Linked DNA regions of Lonchura striata. The protein of the gene in region 2 interacts with the protein of the main gene of each other region in a pairwise test. Links are inferred from orthologs where the notes say so. Each region holds a gene or a part of one and is shown on either strand. Other genes may lie near its edges. The genes, in order: SPRY1, HOXA1, FAM221A and CCN3.

Region 1 (7,608 bases), on a different chromosome or scaffold from region 2:
GCTAGAGACGGGAAGGCTGCAACGCAGAGAAAACTGCAGTGAGTTCTGCACCTACACAGAATTGGAACTGAGTATCCAAGTGCCACATTTATGCAGGGAACCAAGACAACAAGCTGCTTTTCTTTACTGTCAGCCAAAGGAAAAGTCCCTTTTCACTCCCCCTTGGGACGCCATAAGTGTTTACCTGAAAGCAGAGAAAGGTAAGTGATAGCAAGCATTTCAAAAACTCATCCAATAATGCTATGAAAGTGTCTTGTATATCCAGACCACAGCCAGCATGGAGCTGTTCCCCGCTCCAGAGAGAAAAAGGCACCGAAAGAACAAGAAGAGGAAATGTTTGTTCTAGCAGGCAGTCACCATAAGCAGAAAGTGACAGCTTGTGCCGTGACACAAAGTCTTTGTCCTCATCCAGTAGTCAAAAGATTTCATTTTACATCTGACATCACCTGTGTGGGCTTTGTGGTCACCAGATTAAACAGAAAAACCAAACACTCTCACTTCTAATTCACAGAACAGAATCACAGAATGGCTTGGTTGGAAGGGACTTAAAAGACTCTGCAGTCCCAAAGCTCCTGGGCATGGGCAGGGACACCTTCCACTAGACCAGGTGGCTCAGAGCTCCATCCAACCTGGCCTTGGACACTTCCAGGGATGGGGCATTCACAGCCTTTTCCTGTGCCAGTGCCTCACCACCCTCCAGCAAAGAATTTCCTCCTACCCCACACAAGAAGCAGCCTTCTTCATGAGCACTGAATACAAATCCACAACAGACCAAGGCTGAATGAATGCGAAAAGGGAAAGATTTACAGCTGTACCAGTCAGGAGCTGGGCTCCCTAGGGGATGAAAAACAATATCCCAAGAAAATGCAAAGACGTCCAGTGCCATCTTTGGGGGGAAAGCGCAACATCAACGCGGCGCAGACTGACAAGCCCAGCTGCAGACCGGGGCGAGAGTTGAACAGCCACCTCCACCCCCGCGCAGATCGCTCGTAAACTGCTTCTCCCCCCGGACAATAAAAGAAAAATTAGTAAAACAAAATAATAAAATAACGTACGATGCAGGCGGCGAGAGCCCTCACGGTTCTGCACCCGGGGCTGCGCTCCCTCCCCGCCCGTCGGGGGTGGGATCCCGCTTCCCTCCCCTTCTCCACACCCGCTCGGACACGCCGCCAGCGCCCCCGTCCCGCCCTGCTCCGCCCCGCTCCCCGCAGCCCCGGGCGGGCGGCGGCGGCGCGGCGCCCTCTGCGCCCCGAGCGGAGCGGAGCGGATCACGGCGCTGACGGAGAGGAAGGAAGAGGAGGGGAAAAGGGGAAGAAAAAAAAGTTATGAATGAAAACATAGTTGTTGTTTTTTTTTCCCTTTCTTTCTCTCCTTCTCTCTCTCTTCCCCAGAGGAAGGCAGATCTTAGCCCGGCGCTGCCTCGGGAGAGCAGATTACCTGGCGCTTAAAGCGGCAGCCGAGCGGCCGCTCAGCCCCGCGCTGCGGCTCGGCACCCTCCGCCTCAGCCCCTCCAGCCCCCACCTGCGAGGAGCGTCTGGGGGATGTTTTTGACGTTCTGCTCGTTCGCAGCCGGCCACGATCCCCAGTAAACCTTCCCGCAGCAGCCCGGTGCCTCCATTCCGGGAGGGGGACGGTGGGAGGGTGGTCGGGGCCGCCCCTCACCGGGCGGGCGCCGCAGCGCCCCGCGGCACCTGCTCGCTGCGGCAGCGCCGGCCCCGCGAGTGAGTGCACGGCGGGTCCCAACTTACGGGTGTGCAGGCAGCCACCGGGAACGGCAAATCCAGCGGGCGGGGGGCGGCGGGGCCTCGGCTCCTCGCTCTCCCGGCCCCCGGGGAGGGGAGGGCCGGCGGGCTGCGCTCCTAGTCCCCGCGCAGCCCTCGCTCGCCGATCTCCACGTCCTACTAGGCCAGCAGAGAAGAGCCCCGCTCTCCTGCCCACCTCAGCTCCCCTCTCCCGGGGTCAGCATGCAGCGGCCCCGGCCGCCCGTGGAAGCGGCGCTCTCCTTCGGCCACGGCTCTCTCGGTCCGGAGGCGACGGGGAGCAAATCCAGCCCTTCCTGCAAAGCGGAGTATCTGGATGGAGCCTCAGGCGGCTGCAGGCTGCGGCAGGCAGCGGGGCTGTTGCGATGCTGGTCTCTGTGAAAAGGCGGCGGGTGCGCGGCTCCTGCTCCGGTTGTTTGTTATTTCCCTTTGCGATCGCAGAGTGCAGGGCTGCGGTCCCGCTCCGGCGCTCGGCTTCACCGCATGGTCCTTGCCGCAAGTCCCGTCTGGCAAAGTGCAACCACAACCTCTGGTGCGAAAGATTCGGTTGGGTTTTTGCTTTTTTTCGTTTTGATTTTTTATTTTCTTTCTAAAGCGATCAAGAAGCGGCTCTAGCTCTCCAGGCAGAACTCAGCGAACTGCGAACGAAGCCAGAGGCAGCGCAATGCAATGGCCCTGCGAGCTCGCCGCACACAGCCATGTGCTGGCTGTCGCTGCCGGGGGCCGAGTGACAGGCTCGGGGCAGGGGCAGGACGCGGCGGGGAGGGGCGACCCCGCACGCCGCAGTCTGGCACCGAGGTCTCCGCAGGCTCGAGAGGGTCGCGCAGAGCTCCGACGCGCCGGAGACCCCGCGTCGGGCGGGACGGGCGAGTACCGACCCGGAGCTTCTCTGTGAGCAGCGAATCGCGCCCAACTCAGCGCTGCCGGCCCGGGGAGCCGAGCCCCGGTTCTCCCGCCCGGTGCCCCGCGGAGCAGCGAGCGCGGCTCGCCCGCACCTCCCGCACGCCTCGCAGCGCGGCCGCCCCCAGCGCGGCGCGGGGAGCCCCGGCCGCCCGCCCGCACCTGACCCGGCGGGAGGTGGGTGTGCGGCGCGGCGAGCGCCGCCCGGGCTTACCTAGGGCCGGGGTGAGCGCCCGCCTCCCGCGGCACATTGGCGGCGCGGATCCAGCCCGGGCAGTGCCGGCAGCCGCTCCGCGCTGCCCCGCCGCCGTTCCGGAGTGACTCGGGCCGCGCCTCGCCGCCTTTCAGCGCGCAGCCCCCGCCCGCCGCCGGCCGCGCCCCCCTGATGTCAGTGTGCCTCCGAAATCCCGGCGTGGATTCCCCGCCCTCCCGCCGGGAGCCGCTCCCGCGGGCCGCCAGGGACAGAAGAAGGGAGGGAATTGAGGAGGGAAGGAGGGAGGACCTGCCCCTCTCCGGCCCCGGCCCCGCGCTGTCCCGCGGCCGCGGCTCCTCCCGGCCCCGAGGCCCCGCCGGCAGAGGGAGCGCCCCGCGGGCTCGGCCCGGCGGAGCTCGGAGCTGCCCGGCTCGCACACGCTGCCCCCGCCTGCGCTCGGCCGGGCGGGCAGAGCTCACGGAGCTGCCGCGGCACCGGCGGGCACAGGGCTCTGCTGAAGGGCTGAAGTTCTGCCACGCTCCTCTGACAGAGTTACAGAGAGATTCCTCTCTGCGTTTTGCCGTCTGCGCCCTTCAAGCCAGGTGGAACAGCCCTTCGTTTATATTCACAAGGTATTTTCTGCTTCTTTCAGGCTATTGCGGAGGCGGCTGAGGACCCGAGAAAAGCACTCCCTCTCGCCATCCTGCCATGAGATAGGAAGAGGCTCTTCCCATCGGCTGTCACTGCAGCAGAGATGATACTGGTTATCGACCTGGCTGTCTTGTCTCCCACCTTTCCAGCCCTGCCTCGGCAAGGTCCGATCTAAAGGTCACGACTGCATCCCTGCCATGATGCCAAGGAGATACAGGGATGCTTTCCAAGTCAGTAGTTTTATGGCCAGATATTACATTTGACGTAAGATTTTTGGGGGTTTGGTTTTTCTCAGTGAGTATTCTAATATTTAGAATATTTTAGAGTATTTAGGCCACCAAAAGAACAGGAAAGTGATATGAAGCACATCCAAATTCTCATAACAACATGTAAGGTATTGGAATAGTTGAGACTTCCAGTACTTGGCTAAACACCACTCAGCCTTAAGTTTATCTGAACCATACTAACAATCTCTTTCACCAAAAAAAAAAAAAAAAAAAAAAAAAAAAAAAAAAAAAACCAAAAACAAAACTTCTCCCACCTTTTGCCCCAAAGAAAAGAAGTATGTGCTAAGGATATGTGGAGCTGCTTAGCAGGAACATACATCCAAAAGCAAACAATCCCTACAAACAGGATTGTACCACAAAGGTGGTACTCTGTGACAGTCTGCACACCCAGCTCACACTTGTGGAAGCAGCACAGTGGTTTTTCATTAAACTTCACTAAGCTTTCATTTCATTTTTGAAATTTTCATCATTATGCACAACCTTTACCTGAACCACCTATTTCTATATGAAATAAAATTTGCATGCATTAGAGGTTCTGTACTGAATACTAGAATATAGTACTAGTGGTAGTGTGACTCCTAATACTGCTGAGTTTGTAATTAACAGATTGCAGACAAACCATAAATACCATTCTCCAGTGACAGAGGCTCAAAGGACAAACAATAGCATAAAAATCCTTGGTGTGGAATAAAAGTATTCCAAAACAATATTTGATTTATCCATTAATATGGATTTAGAAAATGTGGTTGTTCACCAAACGCATCTTCAGGCACACCTTGAGCACAAAGTACAACATCATTTTCAGTGAAATCCATCTAAAAACTTTATAAAGAGTTACAAAAGCTTATGTCTGACAAGAACAAAAAATCCAACTAAAGAACCAAAATTACTACAAAAAATTTTAAAAACCATTACTCCTGCAGAGTAGTCTTAGTGGTGCAGTTCATCTTTGTAGGTAGCAGGGCTCAGTTCTCGCAGAAGTCCATAAACATTTTTCCTAGGACATGACCATGAAAACACCTCAACGCCTTTCCTTTCACATCTCTAAAGCCAGTACCACCTTAAAAAACCTATGCCAAGTGTAAAAGCTTGATTTTAGAAACATAATACCAGACTTAAATGGGTCAGTCAAATAACCAAGAGGACTGGCAGGTGTTCACTATCACCTGGCACTTGAATTAGTACTTCACTGAAAGAAGGGAAAACCCTCCAGCAATATCCAAAGGCTCTCCACAGGCTCAAGCAAACATTCCTGCACCTCGCACAAGTCCATCTCACTAGATTATTCCTAGAAATTATAGCAGTGAGAAGTCCTGATTAGAAAAAGGAGAGCAACATTCTGGAGAATGAACTGGCACCTATGGCTACATCCTAACATGGCCTAAATTTGAGGATTGATGCACAGGCAGGAATCTGATGCAACCAAATAATTTTCTATCTCCAAACCATCATCTAGAGGTGGCTCAGCTGACACCAAGTCAATAGAGACCAGCCCTCTGTGCCTGAAGGAAATCCTTCAGAAAAACCTGCCAGAAGGGGCTCGGGGGACTGAATGATGGCCAAGAGCAGTGATCCAATCCCTCCTTCCACTTTCACTTTGAGGATCGGGTACTGGAGATAATCCCCACCTTCTGCAGTCAGATGCTACTTCTCCCTCACAGCAGCACTGGACAGAACAAAAGCACAATCCATCCTTAGCTTTTTGTTTTTCTTCCTAATACACCTAGAAGTAACTTTTATCTCTAGGTGACTTAACTGACCTTTGTAAAGATGCACCAGATAAACTGTGATCCTCCCACTATCAGGAACAACTATTTCCATGGTGCATTCCCCCTGGGAATATTATTCTGTTTCTCCCTAAGCAGCATCTCTTAGCCCTTGCTAAGGCACAAATCCCAGTCCAGAAGGAAGACACACACTCATCCGCAGTCACAAAGCCAACATGGCTTTGAGGAGACTCAGCAGGGGAAATGTTTCCCTTTATGCATGTTACTTGTCACTTCCTAACCAATCTTCACAGCTGCAACAACATTTCTCAGGTTACAGAGGAATTTAAACACCCCCCTCCATTAGCATTTACAACAAAATTATGAACCAAATTGTTGTGCCAGTCTTACCTGTAGCGTGTGTAGGTCAGGTACTTCCCTCACCAGAGATGATCTTGCAGAGGTGGTGTCAGGAGAACTGACTGGAACCTACAGCTCCCCAAGCTTTGTGTGTCAGCAGCTTTGAGTTTGTGTCAGGTGGAACTTTGTAGTTGTCAGTGCTTGAACAGTCTCAGAAACTCTCAGTGCTTGTTGGGACAAGACCAGCATAACTAACTTTTTAACACACCACTAGGCCTATATATACTACAAGGCAAGAGGAAATGGCCTCAAGTTGCACCAGTGGAGATTTAGATTGGGGATCAGGAAAAATTTCTTCACTGAAGGCACTGGAACAGGCTGCCCAGGTCACTGGCTGAGTCACCAACCCTGGATGGATTTAAAAGATGTGTAGATGTGGCACTTAGGGACTGGTCTACTGGTGATTTGGCAACGCTGGGTTGATGGCTGGACTCAATGACCTTAAAGGTTTTTTTCCAGCTTAAATGATTCCATGATTTAAAAACTCTCCAACAAACCAACAAAGGCTATGGAACACTGCTGTAATAACAAGTTTCTCAGCAGCTCTCATGAAATCTTGCTGGCCCTGGCTTATGCTGGTGCATGAGATGAATAAAGCTGCTCCCAAGAGCCAAACACCATGGCTGCTGTGGTGAAGGCATACCCTGACACGTACAGTGAATCATTTCAGGGTAAAGAAGAGAAAGCAAAGGCTGATGTGGTAGCATTTCCCATCACACTTTCTACCAGACAGGTTGACCTTTATCTGAGATCAAAGGCACGGGTGGCTGGGGATTTCTTCAGCTCCTGTGCAGGGGCTGTTCTCAAAGCTCTCTGGAGACACTCAGCCCATGTGCCAGTCTCTTGCCGTCACTGCACGGGCTGGGGAAAGGCACACAGGAAATCCTCAGTTACAAATAGAACCTGTAGTTTTCACTTCGGGAGATAACATCAGCTTTTCTTAGAGGCAGAGGAGACAGTAAAAGGCAGCAGCCGGGCAAACCTCCAAGAACAAAGGGACGAACCTCGACGTGAACCTGCCTCATGAACATTTGAATGTGGAATCAAAGCATCTCGGCAAATGCTGCAGAGAGAGGGGTTTAGTCTGTGCCCAAATTAAATAGGACGAAAATGCCAAGGTCTGTAAAATAGGCTGAGAGTCTGAGAACACACTTTCCCTTCCCCATCTCCTGCATTGTATCAAAGAAACCAGCATTTTCCTTGAGTAACCACAGGCAGAACTTCACTCTCCTAAGGATAGGCCACAGCAAGTCTCTTCATTTTCCACCACTCCTCTGACATACAGGCAACTAGCACCTCTACACCTCTCCTCAGGTACCCATAGTTACTGTTTTCTGAACAACTTAAATCTTCCTTGGACAACTGCCCCTCTAGCCTTCATGTGTAGCTGCTACATGGGTTGTCTGCATGTGCACAAGGTATTCTGCTAAGCTACTGACCATATTTCCCTTGCTTTTTATTAACTGTTAACTATTTTAGCTAATTGACTTCATCTGCCTGTATAAACAGCTTTGTGAAAAAAGGAAAACTGTCATTATTACTGAATGCCAATAATAATTTACTCTCATCTACCATAAATTATATGCAAATCCTTGTCTCGTATCCTAGTGCTGAGCAAACTGCCCCTTCCATTCCACTGAGACACAATTCCTTGCACAGACACAATTCCTATTTCTGCTGGAGAAGTTGCC
Region 2 (6,508 bases):
TTTTGAGGTATCTGCTTGAGCTTAAGACGTTTACTTGATACGGTCATCTACTTTACCAATATAAAAATGGATCCAGTTTGGCGAATGCACTCACCCTGCTTAACCTGATAATCGAAACATCATTCTAGAAAAATCTGTAAAAAGATAAATCTCTCGGACAAAGTATTTACAAGCAACAAATACATTGACACGAACAAAGAATACATTAAATTAAGGGGATGAATGTCCTATAAGTCGTGTAAACACTTGCAATAGTGCATCTCTTTGTGAGGTTATGTACCCTAAATAACCTGTCTTTCACTCAGGGAAACTCGGTGGAGCGTCCTTGCAGTGGTGGAGGGGGACCCTTACGCGGATGCCAACACAGCTCCACCCTTAACAGAAAAGGAAGGGGGGGCCAGGAAGAAAATTCCCCTAGCACCAAGGCGCCGGGACCCGGCGGAGCCGGCACCCCCGGGGCCGGACGGCGGCGGAGGTAGCGGGGGAGGGAACGGCAGCTCGCCGGGACCTCTCGGGGATACCGACCGACCGAGGGACCGACATAAGAGCGGCGGAAGGACGCGTGCCGCTCCGGCGGGGGCGTCGCGCCCGGCGGCCGTCGGGGCGCAGCCGGTCTCAGTTGGAGGCAGCGAGCGTGTCCGAGGCGGAGGAGGCGGGCGAGGCGCTGCAGGGCGAGGAGCAGGACTTCTCCGACGAGTCCTCCGCCTTCTCCTCGCAGCCCGTGGGGGTGGCGGGGGAGATGGGCAGCAGCCCCTCTTTCTCCCGTTTCTTTTGCTTCATCCGCCGGTTCTGGAACCAGATCTTCACCTGCGTCTCGTTGAGCTGGAGAGAGGCGGCGATCTCCACTCGCCTGGCCCTGGTCAGGTATTTGTTGAAATGAAACTCCTTCTCCAGCTCGGTGAGCTGCTTGGTGGTGAAGTTAGTTCTGACGGTGTTGGGCTGCCCCACGAAGCCGTACTCGCCAGCCTTGCCTGCGAGGGGACATGCAGCGGTAAGTGAGCGCAAATGATTTATAGGCGATGTAATCAATATGTCCACACCGGCTAAGCGATAGGGAGCAAGAACTTCTTAGGATAAGAGGGAAACCCCGGCAGGGTGAGTGATGGAGTACGAGGTGCTAAACCGGAGTCAGCCTCTAGTGTCAGAGCAAACTTGATAAGTGGTTTATGAATTACCAGAAATATGACCACGGGAGAGGAGGAGAAGGGGGAGTCAGGAATAAGTGGGGAATAAGCGCCGCTGGCTTTCAGCTGCGCGGGCAGGCAGCCGCGACTGATCCCAGAGGTGCGGGCCGACCTACCTGCCCAGAGCCCCGCGGGATACCGCGCCTCTTTCCCCGCACCTGCGGCGGACAGAGAGAGGAGCGGCCCCCGCCCCGGCCCTCCCGCCGGCCACTGACCTGTTTTGGGTGGGTTTCTTTTCACTTTCATCCAGTCGAAGGTTTGCGCCGGCGGCGAGGTCTCGGTGGAGGGGGAGCGGGCGTTTTCCCGGTGGCCAGCGTGGAGGGGAGACAGCGCATGGTTGTAGGTGCCCAGGGGCAGGCTCTGCTGGTCCTGCCCGTAAGGGGGAGGCACGTACTGAGCGGAGGCCCCCGCGTAGCCCTGGTGGGGGAGCGGGTGCTGCGCAGCGGCAGAGGAGGAGATGCTCCCCGAGTACACGGCGGGGGCACAGGGAGGGAAGCCGCCGCCCAGCTCCGCGTCCTGCCCCAGGGGGTAGGGGCCGTACGCCGGTCCGAAGCCCTGCGCGCTGTAGGTCGGGCCGCAGCCGGGGTGCGCGTAGGACACCCCCAGCCCGCCGTGGTGCTGGTAGGCGGCGGGCTGGGCCGGGCTGTGGTGATGGTGGCGGTGGGGGCTGATGGGCACCCCGCGGCCCGCCAGGAAGCGGTCCTCTCCGCTGCAGCTGCCGGCGCTGACGGCGCAGGGCTGGAAAGTTGTAATCCCGTGGTCGGGGTGGTAGGCGCGGGCGGCGCAGGCCCCCGCCTCGCCGCCGAGGACGGGGTACTCGAGGAAGGAGCTCATCCTCGCCGCGTCTGTCTGTCACGCCGCCACCGGGTCTTCAGCGTCCGGCGGGGCCGCGCCAACTTTCCCACTTCCTCCATGGGGCCGGCAGGAAAATGACACGAAGGCGCCGGCAGCGGGCAGGCACGTGGGGGGCGGCAGCCAATGGCTGCGGCGCCCGCGGGGCTTCCCCGGCTCCTGTCGCTGGTACAGCGCCGCATCGGGGGCATTTAAACGCCGAGCGCTCCGACCGAGCGGCACCGCGGGCAGGGAGGCGCCGGCCGTGGCCCCCAGGGGGTGGGGGGCGGGCCGGGCAGGGCTGTACACACACACCCCCGCCGCGGCAGCCCCCTGGGTCTCGTCCGCCAGCTGAGAGAAGAAGGCAGGAGAGACCTGGAGGCTGCGCCCGGCCCGCGGAGCCCACCGGCCGTCCCCTCCAGGGTGAGTGCTGCTGCCAGTGTGCCCCAGCATCACCCTGCTGTCGGCGCTGTCAAGCCTGCACCGGGCACCTCTGCTGCCCATCAACCCCGGCCAGGACAGCGGCGGGGGTGGGGTGGGGTGGCTAGGGGAGGTGACTGGATCCGCGGCACGGGGCGAGGGATGGGGCGGAGAGAGGCAGAGACAGCGCTGAGAGCATCAGCCCTTGGAACGGGAATGAGAATGGGACCGTGGGATGCGGCTGGGGACTTCTACCGGGACGGGAATTGAGATAAGAAAAGGAATGAAGGTAAGGATAAGGTAGAGAATAAAGAATAGGCATGGGACCGAGGATATGGATATGGATGGGATGTGGGTGGAGGTGGAGACGGTAATAGTATCGGTGCCGAGGGGGTCTCGCTGGTCCAGCCCCGCCGCAGTCCCAACGCGACGCCACGCCAAGAGTTAAAGGGGCTTGTCCAGCCGCATCACCAGGCGGCCGCGGACATTAGCATGGAAATTAGGCGCTTTTGGGACTGACGGCCATTGTGCTCTCCCAGGCTCACCGGCCACCCTCTGGCCCCCATCCCTTCTCCCCCCGCGCCTTCGCCGGGCTCACCCTCGCCAGCCTAGGGAAGGAGGAGCCGGGGGCAGGAGGACGAATGATTGGACGGGGGCCCGGGGGCTCCGCAGCCCATCTGCTGTGCTCCCGCAGCGCCGCTGCCGCCCGTCCGCCCTGGGACAGGGTGGGGGGACGGCTGTCCGGGGTGTCGCGGGTCGCAGCCCGAGGAGGCGACCCGGGACAGGGGCAGAGGAGCGGAGGGAGGCGCAGAGCCCGCCGGCCCGGCCTCTTTGTCCCTGCGCTCCGCCACCCGGGTCGGCGGTAGGGAGAGATGGCAGATGGCCAGTGGCAGAGGCGGCCCCAGGACCCTCGGGAACGGCTCTGAGGATCGACTCCAACCCAGCCCTCCCCAACACCGTGGGGAGGTGGGTCAAAAAATTCGTCCGTGGCTAGAGAAGGAGGGATGGCGGTGAGATGTAGGTTACGACCTTATATGCGTTTTACGTATGCGGAAAGGGAAAGGGGAGGTAAAGGCCGGGCATCCGTCTGTCCCAGCTCACCCAACCGTCTGCAGGCAGAAAGGACGGGACCAAAAGTCTTCAAAATAAGTTCTGCGAAACGTCAGCCTCGGAGAAAGATGGATGGAAAGTCATGTCCCCTGACACTAGCCCCAGAAGGGGCTACCCCCTCTATTTCTGCAGGTGCCGACTCTTACGTCCCTCTGTTCTCACGCTCGATCCTTGCTTGTTTTGAAATCCAAAAGGCTCTTCTACCACGCTACCACTCCCCGCTCACGAATACACACGCACACACCCACATACACACCCTCAAGCTCCTCCCTCCCACACGAACTGCGACACAACAACACTAGGTGCAAAGCTCTCCTTCCTACTGCTATTGGGTCAGCCCTTATCCCACGGCATCTGCACGGCCGCTCTACTGTCAGCCAAAACCGACGGGCGCCTCTCCACCACGCATCATTCCCGGTGCCCTCAGTACGTCTATTTGTTCTGATTTACTACAGAGGCGGGGATGGTTAAGGGCCCTCTGGAAAGGTTCAGTTTCTTAAACTGTAGGGGGGTGGAGTGGAGGACAAGAGCAACAACACTCTAGAGGCGTTTATGATATTATACTGCGCCAATTTTGGTTATGGCTGCAGCTGTAAACACATTTATTTCATTCTTGTAAACCCGTTGTGATAAATACTGCACAAAGCAGAGAAAAAAAAAAAAGACAGCGATTAGTATTGCTTACTAATAAAAGGGCTGACATCTTCTCAATGCTTTTTCCTTTAGCCAAGGGAAAAAAAAAATATTTTACTACAACTAGATCCCTTTTACCCGTAAATTCCGATCAATCACTTTTCTTACAGTCTCCAGCATCCTGAAATCCTTTTTCCTCTGCCTTTTTGGTGCCATTGTCTCTTGTTGCATTGTTTCCCTGGCGGGGCTCTCGGGTTTTGCTGCCCGCACTAAGCATGGGGGCAACATCATGAGAAGGGTCGGAGCAGAGGAGGAGCACACACCACACCCTCCGTCCTCCGCGGCCAGGCGAGGGGGAGCTACGGCCCCTTCCCCTTGCCCTCAGGCCATCCCGGCCCCTCCGCGGCTTCGCTCCGCGTTTCCTGCCACGGAACTGAGGCTGAGGGGGCGATCCCGGCTGTTTAGGCTTTTCCGTGGGAGTGTGCCCCAGCTGTGGCCCCATAGTTCACCCAGAGCCTCGGAGGCGGGTTCTGCTTGCTGAATTCCCCCATTTATTTAAATTGAGTTTGTGAGAAGTTTAAACCTTGTAGAATATTCCCATTTCCTTTTTATTTTCGTTTCTTTTTTTTTACATCTCTGGGTTTTGTTTGGGGGTTTTGTTTTATTGTTTGGGTTTGGTTTTTTTAGTTCGTTTTGCTTTGGTTTTCTTTAAGTGTAGTCAGCATCCGGAAATCTGGGCACAAAAGAAACCCCAAGCCTTACAGGAACGTTGCGGTCCAATTTAACCCAGTGGCAGGGGAGTGAAAATGCCGGTGAGGCTGCTCGCTTTCCGCAGGGACATGGCTGGAACAGAGGGAAGGAGGAGAACTGAGGCCGAGGTTTCACCGCGCCCGCAGCTCAGCCAAGCTGTTGTTTTAAAAGAGCAATAAAAGTGAATTATGACTAAACGCCTTCTCACTTAATGGTTTTAGACGGGGATCCCCAGCCTCGGCAAATACGTAAGAGGATTTTTATTTGTGAATGTGTTCCTGCAATTGATCTCTTTGATGACATTCTCATTCATAGAAAGAGTTTGATTTATGACTTTCGGAAGAATTGCGTTCAGCCCTTCCAGCTATAACCCACGCATCCCAGCTCCACAGCGTGTTACAGGGCTGGGAGACAGCACTGCTCTCATGGACGGACCCCATTCACAACCCCCCACCCAAGCCCCACTCGCTTGTGTAACGTGACCGCTCGGACTCACTCGCACTCACACGCATTCAAGGAGCCGCGAATGTCCCCGCACGGGATTCCCTGGCCCCGGAGAGGCAGAGCCCCGCTGGCATCTGTTGCTGTGTTTTAGCCCGAAGGACGGGGCTCACCCTCTGCTTTGGGGTTCGGTAACACCGGGTGGCAGGCAATTTGGTGGAGATTTCTGAAAGCCCGTCTAGCCGCCTCCAGCAGAAGAGCAGTGAGCCCGAGAAAATTGTAACTTTAAAGTCAGAGGTTCCCCTTTTCGTTATCAGTCTTTCATCTCTCGAGAAGGCTTACACAGAAAAATATCTTCGGGTCTGCCCCCGCACCGCCCCCGAGAAGGATGGAGTGGAGAGGCCGGTTCCTCCCTAAATATTTTTTCTTCCCCCTGCGTTTCTGCCACCCTTTTGATTTCACAGGCACTAACTTCTCCATTTCCTCTCCTCCTAGGGCTGATTTCTTGGATTACTCAGCACGTGAGAAGTAACCAACCACATTATTTGTGAGCTCTGATATTTTTAAAGATACGTTTTCTGAAATATCTTGCTGGCTGCTAAGCACTACTTTCTAGAAAACCAGGATTAATTAAAAAAAATAATTAAAAGCAACTTTCCTTTCGTTCATGTAACAGGCTGGTGGTTTCTGAAGGAGACACTTACCCTATTGAGTCACTCTTACGTTCTGCCTGTAGCAGAGAAAGTCTTCATTCATGCTTTTGTTACAGCTCAGGATTTCCAAGCTTTGTATCCTCACAAAGATGCCATATTTATACATTAAAAGGAGCAAATGTCTATAAAATCTGTGAACGGTTCTAATTTCTTTAGTTTGTTTTTCCTTCCCTTATGAGAATCCTTACAATAAAGGAAATGAACGATTTTTTCCTCTCTAATGAGTGTCCTAGATTGCCAAAAGGGAAGAGCTCGTTGTCAAAATGTTGGATTTTGATTATTAGTAAATTAATAGTGGAAGGGATGGGGAGAGATACCCGTCATGTTATCCGTCTTGAAAGCAGAGAGAAAAAGAGGAGAAAGAGAAAGAAAAAAGAGAAAGCTCCTTGTAGCAAACAAGAATTTATTCTACCAAAAATACTTATG
Region 3 (7,931 bases), about 1.4 Mb from region 2:
TGCTGAAACTCCTTTCCCATTTGTATTTCTAGAGCCACAATCTCTATGGTCATGAACCACTTTGTTAGAGTGCTAGCAATAGAATTATTTGGGAACAGAGTAGTACTTCCTGTTGACTTGAGAAAAGACAAAAACATATTAATGTTCTAGTCAACTTGACAATAGAGAAATGGAGGTCAACGCTTCTCTCTCTCAAACTAGCAAGTTCAGGTAGAAAAGGTACGTGCACGCAGCAGAAGTGACAAACTGATAACAGGGTGCTTTCATACCGTCTAACTTCAGACATCTGTCTCCATAAGCACCTATCTGAAGCACTCACAGATTTAAACTCCTTCACAGGACCTGGGGAAACTAAGGATGTTGTTCTAAACCCTCCTGTGCAAAAGGTGATGTCCTCCTTCCCTCTTCTCATCCTTCCTCAAGGATGAAAACACGCATTGGTGGCAAGAGCAGCACACACCCGATACCCTGGGCAGAACGCCCATCCTCACACGCTGTTCCTGCTGAATTTCCCGGCTCCAAAGAGTGCCGCCAGCGCAGCGGTGGCTTACAGGAGTTGCAGGGAAAGCCCGGCGCGGCGCTGTGCTGGTCCGCGAAGTGCTTGCAGCGGCAGCGGACGGGCTGGGTGCCGTTCAGGGGCACGAACTGGTAGGACTGGCACGGGCAGCGCTTCACTCTGCAGGGCAGACTGATAGGGCGCTCCTTGGGAAGCACCTCGTAGTCTGTTTTGTGTTGTTTATACCTAAAACAGGAGAGGTAATGACTTTTATAACTTTGTTAGTGTTTATGAGAAAACTACCTGAAAGGCTTGCTATTCACTTCACAGATTTTGTTTTGAAGTAACTTTAATTGTACTTTTTACTCTTAATAGTGAAATTTCAATTAAATGCATGATAGCAGGTGGTTTTACATCTATTCATTACATAAATATCACATATCCTTATCTTTCATTTTGAGAGCGCTACCAGAATCAATCTGATCTACATTAACTCATGCCTTGCAGCTGAATTTATTGAGACTACAAAATCATTTTGGTCTCAAAAATATATTGACATTTGCATGTACGAGCAGTTGTTACTATTTAAAACCTAATTTTCTCAACTCTTAAACCTTAAATAAATTTGTCAATGTGCTACTGTAATGTGTCTGGGATTATTTCACATTTTCCTGATTGTGAAAAATACTAAAGTGTAAAAAGAGGGAAGCTACCCACCGGTGAGTGCAAAAGCACAGTGTCTCTGGCCCCACAAGCTTACAGTCCATGCCAGTTGGTGATCTCCAGCTCACATACAACCTGTTCTGTAGCCGAGCTGGTAATACTTTTCTTTTGTATTCTTCATATTCCTCAGGAGTAAAGAGCTTTCCTCCATCATCATCACCTACAATTCTGTTTACATAGCATAAAAAAAAAAAAAACATAAGAAAATGAATAAAATAAAAGTAGGTATCTCAGATTTTTTTTTTCAAATAATATATAACAAAATGTTTTCTGTAAATGCAAAACAAATCTTGTATTTCATATTACTCTTCTAATAATTTAACAGAACTATGGCTGATTTTGGAGAATATTTTTTGAATAATGCTTTTTTAAAAAATTTGCTCTGATAGACTGAGAACTAGTTCTAAGAGAGAAGGAAAAATTTAACACAACAAACTACCAGGTGTTCTTTCAGAAAAAAAAAAAAATAGCAATGAGCATCAGGGGTCATGTAACCAGCCAGCTCTGCCTCAGACTTCTTCACGGACCTCTAGTAAGTCACTTCACCCATCTACACCCAACTGTACTGCAGACTTGTATCAGGATCTTAGTCAAACTTGTATCAAATATTAGTCTAGTCTGAGTATTCAGCTGCAAGCAGGTAACCATCAAAGTAACAAACAACACATTCAAGTTGTCTTCTGATTTGCAAGAAGACTATGCTGGTTTCTGTAGCAGAAGCTGGTGGGGGCCCTATCCCTCAGTACAGACAGGCCCATTTGTTTAAGCTATCACTATGTTCAAATTCAAGGTCACTGACTAGCTGGAACTCTGGAGCAGCATCCAAATTCTGCATTTATGGAAACAATTAAGGACAATAAATAAAATATGTAAAATACAAATGAGACTTAACTGCAGCACTTATCTATGCTAAAAGTGATTTTATTAATGTCTGTAAATATCTCAGTTATTATTTATTGGATATGCTAAAAAATGCTGAACGAGTGATTCTTTGTCAAGTATTCTGTGGATTTGTGCACTGCCAGCACTGTACAGCACCAGAATAATGTGCATGTCAACCCAACCAACACCCACTGAATCACTGCACATCTTACGTAAGAAATACCACTGTGTTTTACTCGAGGTTTTCCTAAACTAAATTAAGATCTCAGCACAACGACAGTGTTTATTTTTGTTCAGCCTTTCGAGAGGACCGCTGACAAGACTGGCAAAGACACACAGCAGTGTAAGGGATTTGTACAACGCAAAACTTGGAACTCATGATGCACAGAATTCCTCGTATTCTGAAAGAGCAGTACGGCTGGCAGATTATCAGATAATGGTTTGGATTGGACGGGACCTGAAAGACCACCTAATTCCGGAGCCCCTGCCGTGGGCAGGGATGCAGCAGATGGCCTCTCCCAGCACACCTCACGCTGCCCTGGATGCGAGGGACGATGCGTGACTTCCCCGCTGACAGCCAAGGCTTGCAGCGCGTCCTCACCAGGGCGCACCAGCCGCGGCTCCTCCGACTGCGACAGTGGCCGGCGGGCGGTGCGTGTGGCTCCACGAAGCCGCCGCACACCCCGCAGCAGCCGATTCAGGAGGGCCGGAGGCGAGCATCCCCCCGGGAGGAATCCCGGGCCGCCGCAGGGATGCGGCACGGCTGGAAACGCCCGTCCCCCGCCCCAGCGACCCCAGCGCCCCTGTGCCTCACCGCCGGTACTCCGCGTACTCCTCCAGGGCCTCCGCGTCCGCCTGCAGCCGCTCCATGCCCGCCGGGCCGCCCGGGGCAGGGCGCCGGGAACGGGCGGGGCCGGGCAGGCGGGAGGCACCGGGGACAGGCGGGGCAAAGGCGGGGGACAGGCAGGAGAGAGCCGGGGGACGGAGGGGGCCAGGCGGGGAAGGCGGGCGGCTCGCCGCAGCTCGCTCCGCACCGGCGGCTGAGGAACGTGCGAGCGCGGGGGCAGCGTGCGGGCCGCGGGCGCGGCCAGCCCCGCGCCGCGCTGTTGTCCGGCCGGGGCGTCGTCGTTACCGGGCTCGCAGTGGGGCGAGGCCCTGCTTTGTTTTATTCCGGCTTGCGCAAAGCAGAGAGCTAGGTGGTAACCCACAAAAGGCTAGGTCATCAAAACTTTACACTATTGATTACATTTTAACAAAGGCATCAACATTCATTGGCTACAAATTGAGTAATTTTCCTACTAACTAGTATTCAGCCCCCTATTTGCTAGTCATACCTCTCTCTTGTCATGCACAGCTCTGTGCACAGGCACAGTTCTGCCCATTTGAGTCTGGGGTCTGTTTTGAGCAGGTGGCTGTGATCGCCCACAGCTGGAATTCCCTTTCTCTCGGTTACTGCTCAGTTCTGCTGGCTTCACTACTGGTGGTTCTCATCCACACAGTCCATTCATCTTGGAATTGTCTTCTCTTTTCCTTAAAACAAAAAATTAGCCAAGCACATAACATTCACAACGCAATTGCTCAACCCTAACTGTCCTGCTATGGCAACTGATTAATAACTAAAAAAATTGCAAAGTTTGATTCAAATCTTGAGGAGCTCGATATCAAGGACAGGACACACTGTCTGGGAAGGCAGGCACCCCCTGTGCCCCTTGGGATAGACACTGAGCAGCAGTGCCAGGGCACAGCCACCCACACACACAAGTGCAGTGCCTCAGAAGGGCATCCACAGCCTTGGGTGCCACCAGCCACACAGCACAGCACCCAAACCCTCCCAGTGCCAGCCTTGCACCCACATTGCCCTCTGCTGCTGCTGCTTAGACTACTGCTTCTTTTCTGGTGGGTAGGTGAGGGGTACTTTTGGTTGGTCACTGATTCCTCTTCCTTTACAAAATAAAATGTATGTTCCACTAGAAAATACGTTTTACTTGTAGTTCAAGACTACAGGAGGCCAACTTTGGGAAACATTCTTAACAAAAGATGGTTCTTAGACTGGCAACCTGCAAGTCCCGATTCTTTTCCATATGCTACAATCAATGTAACCATATTGGAACAACTCCTCCAATGTGTTTTTAGCGAATCCACCAAAGGCTGCTATTTCTGACACTGCACTAACAGTGTAAATTGACTGCCTCCCATTGATACAAACAGACTGGCCACAAAGTGATCAAATATGTGATGAAAAAATATAGTACGTTTTCCTTATCCAAGCTTTAGGAAATTGGTATTTAAATTGTGCTCTGCCTGCTAGCATAAGCTATGAGCCTTCAGACTGTCAAACTGAGATCCAAGAGGAAAGGCCTTGTTCATGCCATACAATGATACTTCCCTGGCAAAAGAGGAAAAAAAATAAAAAAGAAATTCAGAGAAATCTCCACATAGTTTTGAACTGTGCAAGCCACTAGCAATGCAGCAGGAGGTGGTGAAGAGGAATGCCACAAGGACCACAGCAATATTTTCCCAAAACATCCCCCAGGAGGAGATGAAACAACAGGGACACTCTCAGTATCCAAGTAAGATGATAGGGCATATGGTCTGGACATTTGTCCTGTGGCTATGCCTCATGTATAAGAAATTTCAGCAGAGCAGACAGCACAGCAACACAACACACACGCTCTGTCACACTGAGATCTGAACACAAAAGATCACCCTCAAAGGCAGGAAGATTAGGGAGCAAGTCCCCACTGCAGTCAATACCTCTTCGAGTAAGCTAGTGAAAGAAAATAAAATCACACCAACAAAACCAGAATTGTCAGGGAAAAGTCAGGGAAGAGAAAATTCCTCCTGTGACCAAAACTTAAAAAAAGAAACAGATGGGGAAAAGGGGACCTTGAAAGCAGAACTAGAAGCGCTGCAGACAGAATTTGAACATACTGAGGAACACACTGCTCCACAGGAGCTGCACAAAAGTGAAGATCTCTGAGATACCTTATCTGTATGCACATTTTGCTGGTGCCAGAGATCCCAGTACTGCCAATAAAGGGGGAGGTGTGGGGGCGGGGGGAAGAGCTCTGGCAAGCCTGGTTCACACAGAATGAGCAGAGCTCCTGTGTCATGGGTTGATGTGCCTCATCTGTGCTTGTTAAAAACAGTCCCCTGAAATACAGCTTGGGTTTAGAGAGAAGAGCCAGGTTTCTTAATAATGCAGCTTTCAGTGAGGGGTACAAATGTTAGCCTGTATGTCACTCATGTCAGTGTTTATGCATGAACAACCAGTGACAACTTACTGAGAGTAGGAAATCAAGTTATTTTTTTTTGTGAGGCATCTGTCCTATGAACTACTTCCCATCAAAAAAAAAAGGAGAATTCTTTTCCTGGATTTGATCACAGCAAGTGTTTCACAATACAGTGTTCAGTTTATTAGCACCCAGTGCTAGTAAGACCCCCCCCAAGATCTGATTGGATCCAAATCTGGATCAGTAGACATACTTAGGAACAGATATAAAAAGTACTTTGTGACTGAGAAATAGAGTTCTTAGCTAATAAAGATATTTCAAACACTCTTTTTACTATCATAGCATGAGTATTGGAATACATTTTGAATTTAGAAAACCCATTCCTGTCTCTCATCCCTTCTACGAGATTGTTAATAGACATCCAAAGTAAAACTCATTAAAGACTGCTCAAAACAGATTTTTTTTTTTTTTTTGTAAACTACCAAATAATTTTGAATAGCAGGGAAAAAAATAAGGCTTTCAGCTACTATGAAGAAGCCATGACACAAGGTAAGTAAAAGGAACAGGAATCCAGATGGCATGCTTTACCTCCTGTAGTTGTGATGTAGCATACGGATACTGCTGGCCCAAGATCTCTGAACACATCAAAGTGGGTTGAACATATGGACACACAGTACAGCTCTGTGAGACCTAAGGTGCTGCCTACACATCAAAGGCAACAGCTTAATGCTTCACAGGGTGTTGACAGTCTCTCTCAACACCCTCTGTTAACAATAAAATGTGTGACCCTTTAAATTTTTTTAAACCCTTACAAGTTTGACAAGTGTTTAAAATTATTCTCAGTGAAACATCTATAAATTGAAGATACCCACTTCACTACTAAAAAATAATTAATTTAGGAAAAACCTGTTTTAGTATTTTAAACCTCAAGTCATCATTTTGAAGTAGTAGCCAGTCATTCTATTTCTATGGATCTGGTCAATGACTATCTGATAAGCTCTTCTGAAAACAAGAATTTAAGAGGCATAAAGCATAGCAGAAACGGTTTCTGTCAAATTGTTTCCTCACTCCACATGTGTTGTCAAAATCCCAATATACTTAAAAGTAAATGCAAACAGTACTCACTTTTATAAACTTCTAACCATGACCATAGACTACGTACAATAAAAATTAGTTTGTGTATTATTAAACTTAGTTTACAGTATTTAAAAATACCAACGTCTTTCTTCAGTTTTGTTTTTAGAAAAACAGAACCTGATTAGACACCAACTGACAAAGTAAGTTGATGAATGCCAAAGGGAATATGGAACCTAACCTCATGTGCAAGCAAGAATCAATTAATAATGAAAGGTTTTTGCTGGAAGTACTGACAAACAGTTAGGAAACATATAGTAATTATGATCACTTACAGATAACTCAGCAGCATGTGATGCCACTGGTGCTTAAGAGATGTGATTCCATGAATGTATGTAATGTGATTTTTTTTTAATTTGGCTTCATTTTAATAACGTTAAAAGATATTTTCATATCTTATATGTAAATATACATATATTCATATTGGACATATGCCTATGTCCATCATTCCTAACAAACTGAGATTAGTGAAATACTCATTCAGTACCAGTCTCTTCCACATGAAAAACAGAGCAAAAGTCTAATTCACTTTTTTGGCTGCTATAAAAGGGAAGTCTCCCATTTTGCTCTTGCCTTTGAAGGTGGCATGCTATCAGATACACTAAATTGAACCTCAAGGTAGGAGACCCTTTGTTTTGTAAAATACAGAATGATGAAAGAGCACAATTGTTAGGTAAAGAGGGCATATTTAGATTAATTAATTAACATTCTATATCACCTTTAAAAATACCACACCAATTTTATGTAAGAATGTTTTAGACATTCAGCTCATTCCACTAGTCAGTGTATTTTTAGGAATGAAAAGATTTTTCAAGAAAACATCATAAACTGGGATGTTAAATTTTAGGCAATTATTTCTCTAAGTAATGTCTTGATAGAGGCTCCTAAATTTACTCTACTTCTGGATTCCCACGAACAAAGGCTGTGACAACAGCAAATACCTCTGGAACATGTACCTGCAAAGAATGTGCTTGGTTGCTAAAGCAACTTGCACACATAACAAACATGATGCAGTTTGGAAACCTCTGAATTAGCAAGTATTTTTAATAAGAATTCAGATCTATCTAGTCAGCTTCTTTAAATGACTGTTATTAAAAAACAAGGATTTAGCAGTCACTTGGAAAACCAGACAACTGTGCAATATGTGATGAATAATAGTGGGTGCCACTAAACACAAGAACCTCTATATCCTGGGCCATGATTCTGCATTTTAAACATTATTTCAATTAAAACAGATCAGCAAACTTCTCTGATCTTAACATTGCATAGGCAGCTTTTTAAGAGCTGTATCAGTGTGTTTGAGAGTCTGACCATCTGTCCCTCCATTCATCTCAAAAGTTCTTTAATGTGGAACCCCTCTTCACATACACGTGTGAGAAAATATTTGGATATCTTCATTACGTTAAGATTACTATGCAGATATTCAAAACTATTTATTTAAATGAGAAAAGCAACAGAAAGGA
Region 4 (7,221 bases), about 110 Mb from region 2:
TGAAGACCTGCCTTGCCTCACTCTCTGCAGCATACCTTATCCGATGACTCTTCATTTTCACAAGGTCTTATCATGCAAAGCCGTGTCTGTTTCACCATTTCACACTGTTGATTCCTGTTGGTAACACGGGTGGAAAAGCCCATTCCACAGCTGGTGGAACAAGCACTCCATTCTGTTGTCTGCTCAATACAATTGGCACTTGAATCAGTCACAGTCCCAAGTGTGGCCTCTTGCCTGTAGGCTGGAGACAAAACCCCACAGAACTTTATTACAAAAAAAACTCACATGAAATCTTAATATCTAATTGAGCTCCATCATGTCTGAGAAGGAACATGTGAGACAAAATAAGGTTCAAAATCCATGCCTTTGACAGGATTTAGAAATTTGAAAAGCTGACTTTTTAGGAATCCTGAATAGCAACTTCCTATGTCTAAAAAAAAAGCCCCAAAGCAGAAAGATGTCTATCAGTGTAATCAGCAAAGCATTTAGATTCTGTTCACTCAAGTCCACAGCTGGAAGAATTATTGCTGACTTTTAAATCAGTTTAGAATCCTAACAGATTTTTATTCTTCACTCTTTCTAATGGAAATATGACACAAGTCAATTCTAAAGCTATGTCATAAAAGTATTTATATTAGGTACTTGAGAGAGGCTGAATTTTTTATCTAAACCAATAAACATAATGGAACAAAAGTCCTTTTACACCTGAGAGTCATAAAGTCACGCCATCTTGTCAATTATTGACAGCCTACAGCCAGGGTGATGGTGGGGAGGCTCGAGGGAAGCCATTTCCAGGAACTATCACAGGTACTTAAAGCCATGGCCAGGTCTGACCACCGTCCTGCTCTCCTGGCAGTGTAAAGCTGCACTGGGCAAACATTGCTGAGGCACAGTTTTGTTCACTGATTAGCACAGTACCCAACAGGAGGAGACAATACAGCTGAGCCGTCAGTCACAGCTCTTGCTGTTAAGCTCCTCTGCAACAGCCTTCCTGCCTTTTGAATGGCAAAGATCCAAAAAAAGGTGCCCTCCAGAGAGGGATGGCCATTGCCGAAAGAATGCAGACAATTCATCTGTAGGCACCTTATGGCTTAGCCTGTCACCATCAGACAAATCAAAGGAAAGGAAAGGTAATAGAAAAGTGTCAAACTTTTTGTTTACACCTTATGTGCTTTACAAGTAACACTTCACAGCACACTGAAAAGCTACTCCAGCTTTTCTTCCTCAATCCTTTCTCACTTGTTTTTAAAATGGATTAGCTGAGTTTTGGCATAACTAACTGCCCAAGATCACAAAGAGCAGTGACTGGAAGAGAATGCAGTGCCCTCCACTCTTGGAAGAAAGTTATGAAAATTCATGTTGAACTAAGAGTTTCATTTAATGGGGATGGAGACATAATTCAGTACAAAAACTGAAAATAGGAAAAAACTGAAAAAGAAGAAAATCCTATCTAGCTTTTTTTAAAAGCCTGAGTTCTGCACTTTGGAATGGATTGAGTTTTCTTACAAATCCATTCACTGTGTTTATAACCACTGCCTCTACAAGTACTCTGTAATGTTTTTAATGCCATCAATAAACATGAGCACTCTATCAAAGACAGGCTGGAATTCACTGGCATTTTAGCTACCGTGCTGACCACTTGTAAGAGCTGCAGAATTCAGTGGGGAGAAAATATATTGTAGACTAAACTGTTATAATACTATATATGTTGAAAAATATTCTTGCAGAGCAACTAGCAAGACTGCATCTTTTTTTTCTTTTTTCCTTGGTGTGGGAATGTTTGGCGGATTAGGACCTTGTCCTTGTTTTCTTCTGGTCACAAAACCAATGCATATCAGATAAACAGAAATTTAAAAATTGGGAACTACATTAATTAACTTTTAAAACTACTATGCATATTCATCCTCTGAATCTTTCTTTTACCTGATGAGCTTTGCCTTTATTAATAACCACTGGTATACTAGTCACTGTATGGCAGAAAAACACCTGACCATACAAGCAATATGTCTTAAACCTGGCAATCCTGTGGATATTTCCACGATGATATCACCTCCTGCTCACAATGACTATAATAAGTAATTTTATTTTCCTCACCAGCCATAGCAAAACCTCCCAAAATCACTTCATCGTCAGGGTCGCAGACCCACTTCTCACAGCACTCTCCAGGGACTTCGACTTTTCTGGGGAAGGGGCAGTCGGGGCCGGGGAGCAGCAGGTCCAGGTTGCAGCGGGGCAGGCAGCCGATCTGGCCGTCGCGGCAGGTGCACTGGTACTTGCAGCTGGGCTGGAACGTCTCCCCATTGCGATAAATCATCCCATCAAACACGCAGTTGTCTCCCTCCAGCACTAGTGGGAAAAGGGGAAGCATTTCGCAGAGGCAGAGGGCACCCGGACAGTCCCCGGCCCCCCCAGCCCCTCGGCGTCCGCGCTGGCACCTCCCGCAGCACCGGGGGCAGCGCCGGTGGTGCTGAGGACCGGCCCCTTGCCGGAGGGCGGCGGGAGAGCCGCGGGGCAGCGACGGGCGCGGCGGGCCCGGCCGGGCAGGGTCTCCCGCCGCCCCGAGAGCCGCAGGCGGGGACGTGCCGCTCGCCACCTACCCATGCAGATGCCGGCGGCCGCGCCGTCCTCGGGGCCGCGGTCGCAGTAGAGGCCGCTGCTCTCGTCGCAGGGCAGCAGCGCGGAGCAGCGCTCGCCGCGCTGCCGGGCGCACACCGGGCAGCAGGAGCAGCCGTCCAGCACGGCGGGCACGCCCGGGGCGCAGCGCGGCGGCTCGGCCGGGCAGCGCCCGCCGCAGGAGCGGGGACACGCCGGCTCCCGGCCGCTGACCGGCGGGGACAGAGCGGCCCCGGGGGCCGGGTCACGGGGCCGGGCCGGCCGCCGGCTCCCCCCGGCCGCCGGCCCCGCCGGGCGCCCCGCGCTCGCCTCGCACGGCCGGAGCAGCAGCAGCAGCAGCAGCAGCAGCAGCAGCAGGGCGGGCAGGTCCTGCCCGCCGCCCGTCGCCATGGCCCCGGCCGCCGCCTGCCCGCCGCCCGCTCGGCTCTGCCGGCAGAGCCATTGCAGCCGCTTTTATAGAGGCGCTCGGGGACCCCCCTCCGCCACCACCCCCGCACGGCGGGCACCGGGGCCGGAGGCGGAGAGCTGGAGCCCGGCCGGGCCCTCGGCTCCCCCCGCTCCCTCCGCCACCTGCCCCGGCGGCGCCGAGCCGCTGCCCTGCCCTGCCCGGCGCCGGCGCGACCCCTCTGCCGGCGGCGCACGGAGCGGGCACCGCAGCCCCGGGGACAGAGCCGGCCCCTGCCCGGGGTGGGGCTGGCCCAGAGCTACCCAGTGCCCTCGAGGGGCCTGCCGCCCTCAGCCGGTCCCTACGGCCCCTTCCCGTGCCGTGTGCCCGCAGCGTCCATCCCGGGCCGCACGCCGAGGGGGCACGGTGCTGCCTCGCAGCTCGCTGGCACCGCCGGCGTGGCTGGGCAGTGCTCAGCGCTGGAGACCAGCCACCCCAAAGCCAAACGCCTCCCGGGGCTATACTGCTCCTGGCCCCGGCGTTGAAGCGTTTTGAGCTTGGTGGGCACTGAACTCTTCACTTTCAAGTCACGGGCGCTGTTCTTTATTAGAGAGGTGCAGGTGTATCAGCTGATGAGACACAGATGTTGCATAGGGAGTCCTCCCTGCTCTGTGCAACTCAGTGCGTTGGAGTGGTCACAGACTACTCAGTTCCTACATGGTGTATGCAACCACAGGGGACACAGAGCCAACAGGCCCGGCCTCAGGAATGCTTTGTAGAAGTAACTCCAGTGCTCTGTGCTGTTATTTTAGCATGTGCAGGACAGATTTAAGGCCAAGTGTAAGGGAGACTAAATCTGTTAACGGGTTTTACTCAGCAGGAATTGCCTTCTGCCTAAGGCAGGCCTTCTTGGGTCTATACAGATATCCTATACAGATATGCTTTATCCTTAGTTGTCTGAGGCAGATAATATCCACTGGATTCTGTTATGGCTTGTTAAAGAGAAAATATTTGAAAAGTAAACAAAACTTGTTGACACACTAGTGAAAACTAGATGTCTTTTAAGTTTAAGACATGACACAAGTAATACTCATGAATTTACAAAGCTACTGTAGCTCTGTACCAAAGCAAAACACATCACCAGAAATGACAAGACAGAAGTTTTGGTTTGGACAAATGTGACCATTGCTTTCTTGATGCTAACTAGCAACAGCAGGATTTCTGAAAATGCCTGGCATTCTGGGGAAAGCAGATTTCACTGGTGCAGGATCATGTAATCTCTGGCCTTCATTTTCTCAGGCACAAACAGCATGACCAGCCAAGAGGAAAATTGGATTGTTCAAACATTATTAGCAGCTTGGGTATGAGTTTGAGGTTATTTAAGTCACCCACTGCCTAACAGGTCATCTTGCCTTCTTTGTCTCTTTTTTTTCTCCCTTATTAATCTCTGACTTAGTCAGTCAGTGCAGCCACTTTTTACAGCACTTTGCTTGTGAACAGAATAACCAATGCTCTTGGCCAGGCATGAAGATTTGCTGAAAAGAAGCAAGGCTTTTTCTGTAGTGTTCCCAGAAGCAAGCCTGCAAGCCAGAGGGCACATGCAAGACTTGTTTTTGCCCATCTCACTGCTTGTGAATCTGCAGAGGTTTTCAGTGCTGGTAATCATTCACAGTCACTGAAAGTTTCCTTACCTTTTAGTGAGATTACTTCACACCACTCTTAAATATCTTAAATATATTAAATATCTCAAATACTTTAAATATCTTAAATATCTTAAATATCATCTTAAATATCTTCTGGTGTCTATAAAAACATTTCACCACATAAAACTGCAGAAAAAGTCAAAGAAATGAAAAAAGTATTTGCCAGCATACTTAATTTGGAAAAAAAACCCACCCTCTTTTACATGTGTTTAATAGATTTATTAAAGCTGCACTTGCTTATGAACACTCTGTTTATGCAATACCAGTTATGAAAATGAGATTATGCTACATTTTAGTACAATAGGACCAAGTATCTTTTCCTAGATATTTCACTTCCTCCGTGCATAATTTCCAATCTGTTGAACCACCAGTTCTTGGACACTGGTTTATTTTCCTAACTGTGAATCTTTTTGTTTGTACTTCTCTTGCAACTTTTTAAAGTTTCTTATCATATGAAAGCATCCTTTGTTACTTCTCACAGAGTAAAATAATGATCAGTGGAGGTGTTTCATGCTGGCTCAGCTGGCAATGAATAGCATTCATTCATGATACAAAATTAGTAAGTACAAATAAATATTTTAGTTTCTCTGTGTTTGCTTTTTTAAAAGAACTGTACTTAAGTGAGTTAATATTTAGGTTGCCACCTTGGCTGTAGCTGTTGCAAAGAGTAATCCCTCCTAAGATGTAAAGAAATTAACCTCTGTTCTTCGCTCTGCAGGGAAACACAGTTGGAGAACACTGTTGAGAGGTGTAAGTTCAGGAACAGAGCCCAGCAGCAGAATCTCAGTATTAAGAATGTACTTAAAGGTTTTTCAGCACTGGAAAAGTGCTGGAAAAAGCTGTATCTAAAAGACTGGAAACAGAGTTACAAATAAAACTGGGTCAACTCTTAGAAGGTTTCTGGTATAACTATCCATAGGTGTCAGGATATATATCAAACATTAGAAAAATTCAAGCATTCATAGTGCTATCCCTCTTTTTAAAGCCAGCTGTCTGTGAAAGTGACTGCTTCACAACATGTAGCTCCACAAAATTATCCATTCTTCATGTATGTCAAACAATGCCATTTTTAGAGTACAGTTGTCATAAACATCATATCCTTCTCTTTCTCCTTTTGCTCTTTTGTCTTACCATGTTTTATTGATACAAATACAAGGTGGATAATTCAGCACTTGTCCGGCACTGTTTCATAAATAATGCCCTTTCTTTTAGTCTACCTCATAAATGGCAGTATTTTTCTAGAAAATATCACAGGTTTTAGTTTTTAGCTATCCCTTTCCAGCGGCAGCTGACAGCTGCAAATTCCTAACATCTGGTGGCGTTACTGATACCACACACGAGCGACATGTGGAAGCGTCCTTGTTACCGAGAAAGGGTTTTATCACTGTGTGCGTGTGACTAAGTTGTTTATCCCGCAGCACCCCTGCAGTCAGGGTGGGGGTGTGGTTTCGGCAGGAGAAGGCAGGGATGAGAAGGGAAGGCTCCCCCTGCCCTGCCCATCCAGCGGGAAGGTGTCGGGGCAGCCCCTCTCCCCCCCGGCGCTCCTGCTCCGCCCCAGCTCCTGGTGCTGAAGGACAGCAGCGACGGGCCCCGGCTCCGAGGAGAGCAGAGCCGAGCCATGGTGATCCTGTCGTGTGTGCTGTGACAGGGACAGCAGAGGCACTGCCGCCACCGCCATCGACGTGGGCATGGATGCTCTTGCTGAATGAACCAGGCCGGTGAATTTTCCCTGTAGTGCATGCACTGGCCCCAGTGCCTTCCCTCTCCAAAAGACATCCTGCTTCACCTGAGAGACAGATATTCCAGGAAAGCAACTGCTTCATTCAGTGATTACCTCTGCTAACCCTGACATTGTTTAAAGTAAGATGTAAGTTCTAATTATTTATAATGTCGTTATCAGAATTATCCCCACAGACTTAGTCATAGTTGTGCTTTTGAGAGGAGATTAAAAAATGTATTATCCTTTTGCCAATGGAAGAATTCTACTAGTTTTTATTTTTTTACAGTATTTTTTGTGGTGGTCTACAATCCCACTGAAGTTATGCTATGATACTGTGAGTTTTGCAATAGTAAGAGTCATGCAAATGACAGTGACTTGGATTTTACTTTTTTGTGAGTTGCCTTCTGTGTCATCCATAAAAGAAATAACAGGTTTAGCAAATAAGAAATTGGAGGGAAAATGTTGAAAGTAAAATACTTCAGAGCATTATTTTAAAATATCTTACATACAAGTGAAGAAAATTTTGAAATGAAATAACATTAAAAATCAAAACATTGTTTTGAAAATGTCAGAGTTACTTATGTTGGGATGGGGAGTTGCATCACTGAGTCAGACAGTTCTATGTGCTTAAAAGAAATTCAGTAGAAAAATTCCAGTTTCTTCTTAAATGCATGTTCCACCAAAAGTTTCTTTCCTCCACACCTATTTAATTATAAAGCCTGCCGGGAATACTTAGAGCACAATCAGCAGGTGAAGTTCTTACACATGGCTTTGTTATGGCTTTGTTATTTTGGGGAATA

The links.
Region 1: the proteins of HOXA1 (region 2) and SPRY1 interact in binary tests that used the Homo sapiens proteins (3 or more experiments, as listed by UniProt). The two-hybrid records come from large-scale screens. The link is inferred for Lonchura striata from reciprocal best matches to the Homo sapiens genes HOXA1 and SPRY1.
Region 3: the proteins of HOXA1 (region 2) and FAM221A interact in binary tests that used the Homo sapiens proteins (3 or more experiments, as listed by UniProt). The link is inferred for Lonchura striata from reciprocal best matches to the Homo sapiens genes HOXA1 and FAM221A.
Region 4: the proteins of HOXA1 (region 2) and CCN3 interact in binary tests that used the Homo sapiens proteins (3 or more experiments, as listed by UniProt). The link is inferred for Lonchura striata from reciprocal best matches to the Homo sapiens genes HOXA1 and CCN3.

Annotation. Positions count from the first base shown.
Region 1 is NC_134606.1:69,052,209-69,059,816, forward strand, and holds the start of SPRY1 (protein sprouty homolog 1), read right to left. Parts: upstream 3,011-7,608; 5' UTR 2,875-3,010; intron 1,100-2,874; exon of another isoform or gene 1,056-1,099; intron 731-1,055; exon of another isoform or gene 719-730; intron 1-718. UniProt on the Homo sapiens protein: Inhibits fibroblast growth factor (FGF)-induced retinal lens fiber differentiation, probably by inhibiting FGF-mediated phosphorylation of ERK1/2. Inhibits TGFB-induced epithelial-to-mesenchymal transition in lens epithelial cells.
Region 2 is NC_134603.1:123,485,878-123,492,385, reverse strand, and holds HOXA1 (homeobox protein Hox-A1), read right to left. Parts: upstream 2,019-6,508; coding exon 1,400-2,018; intron 972-1,399; coding exon 616-971; 3' UTR 519-615; downstream 1-518. UniProt on the Homo sapiens protein: Sequence-specific transcription factor. Regulates multiple developmental processes including brainstem, inner and outer ear, abducens nerve and cardiovascular development and morphogenesis as well as cognition and behavior.
Region 3 is NC_134603.1:124,838,697-124,846,627, forward strand, and holds the start of FAM221A (protein FAM221A), read right to left. Parts: upstream 3,011-7,931; 5' UTR 2,972-3,010; coding exon 2,916-2,971; intron 1,388-2,915; coding exon 1,214-1,387; intron 743-1,213; coding exon 552-742; intron 1-551.
Region 4 is NC_134603.1:14,138,264-14,145,484, forward strand, and holds the start of CCN3 (CCN family member 3), read right to left. Parts: upstream 3,004-7,221; coding exon 2,930-3,003; intron 2,822-2,929; coding exon 2,598-2,821; intron 2,347-2,597; coding exon 2,095-2,346; intron 242-2,094; coding exon 36-241; intron 1-35. UniProt on the Homo sapiens protein: Immediate-early protein playing a role in various cellular processes including proliferation, adhesion, migration, differentiation and survival. Acts by binding to integrins or membrane receptors such as NOTCH1.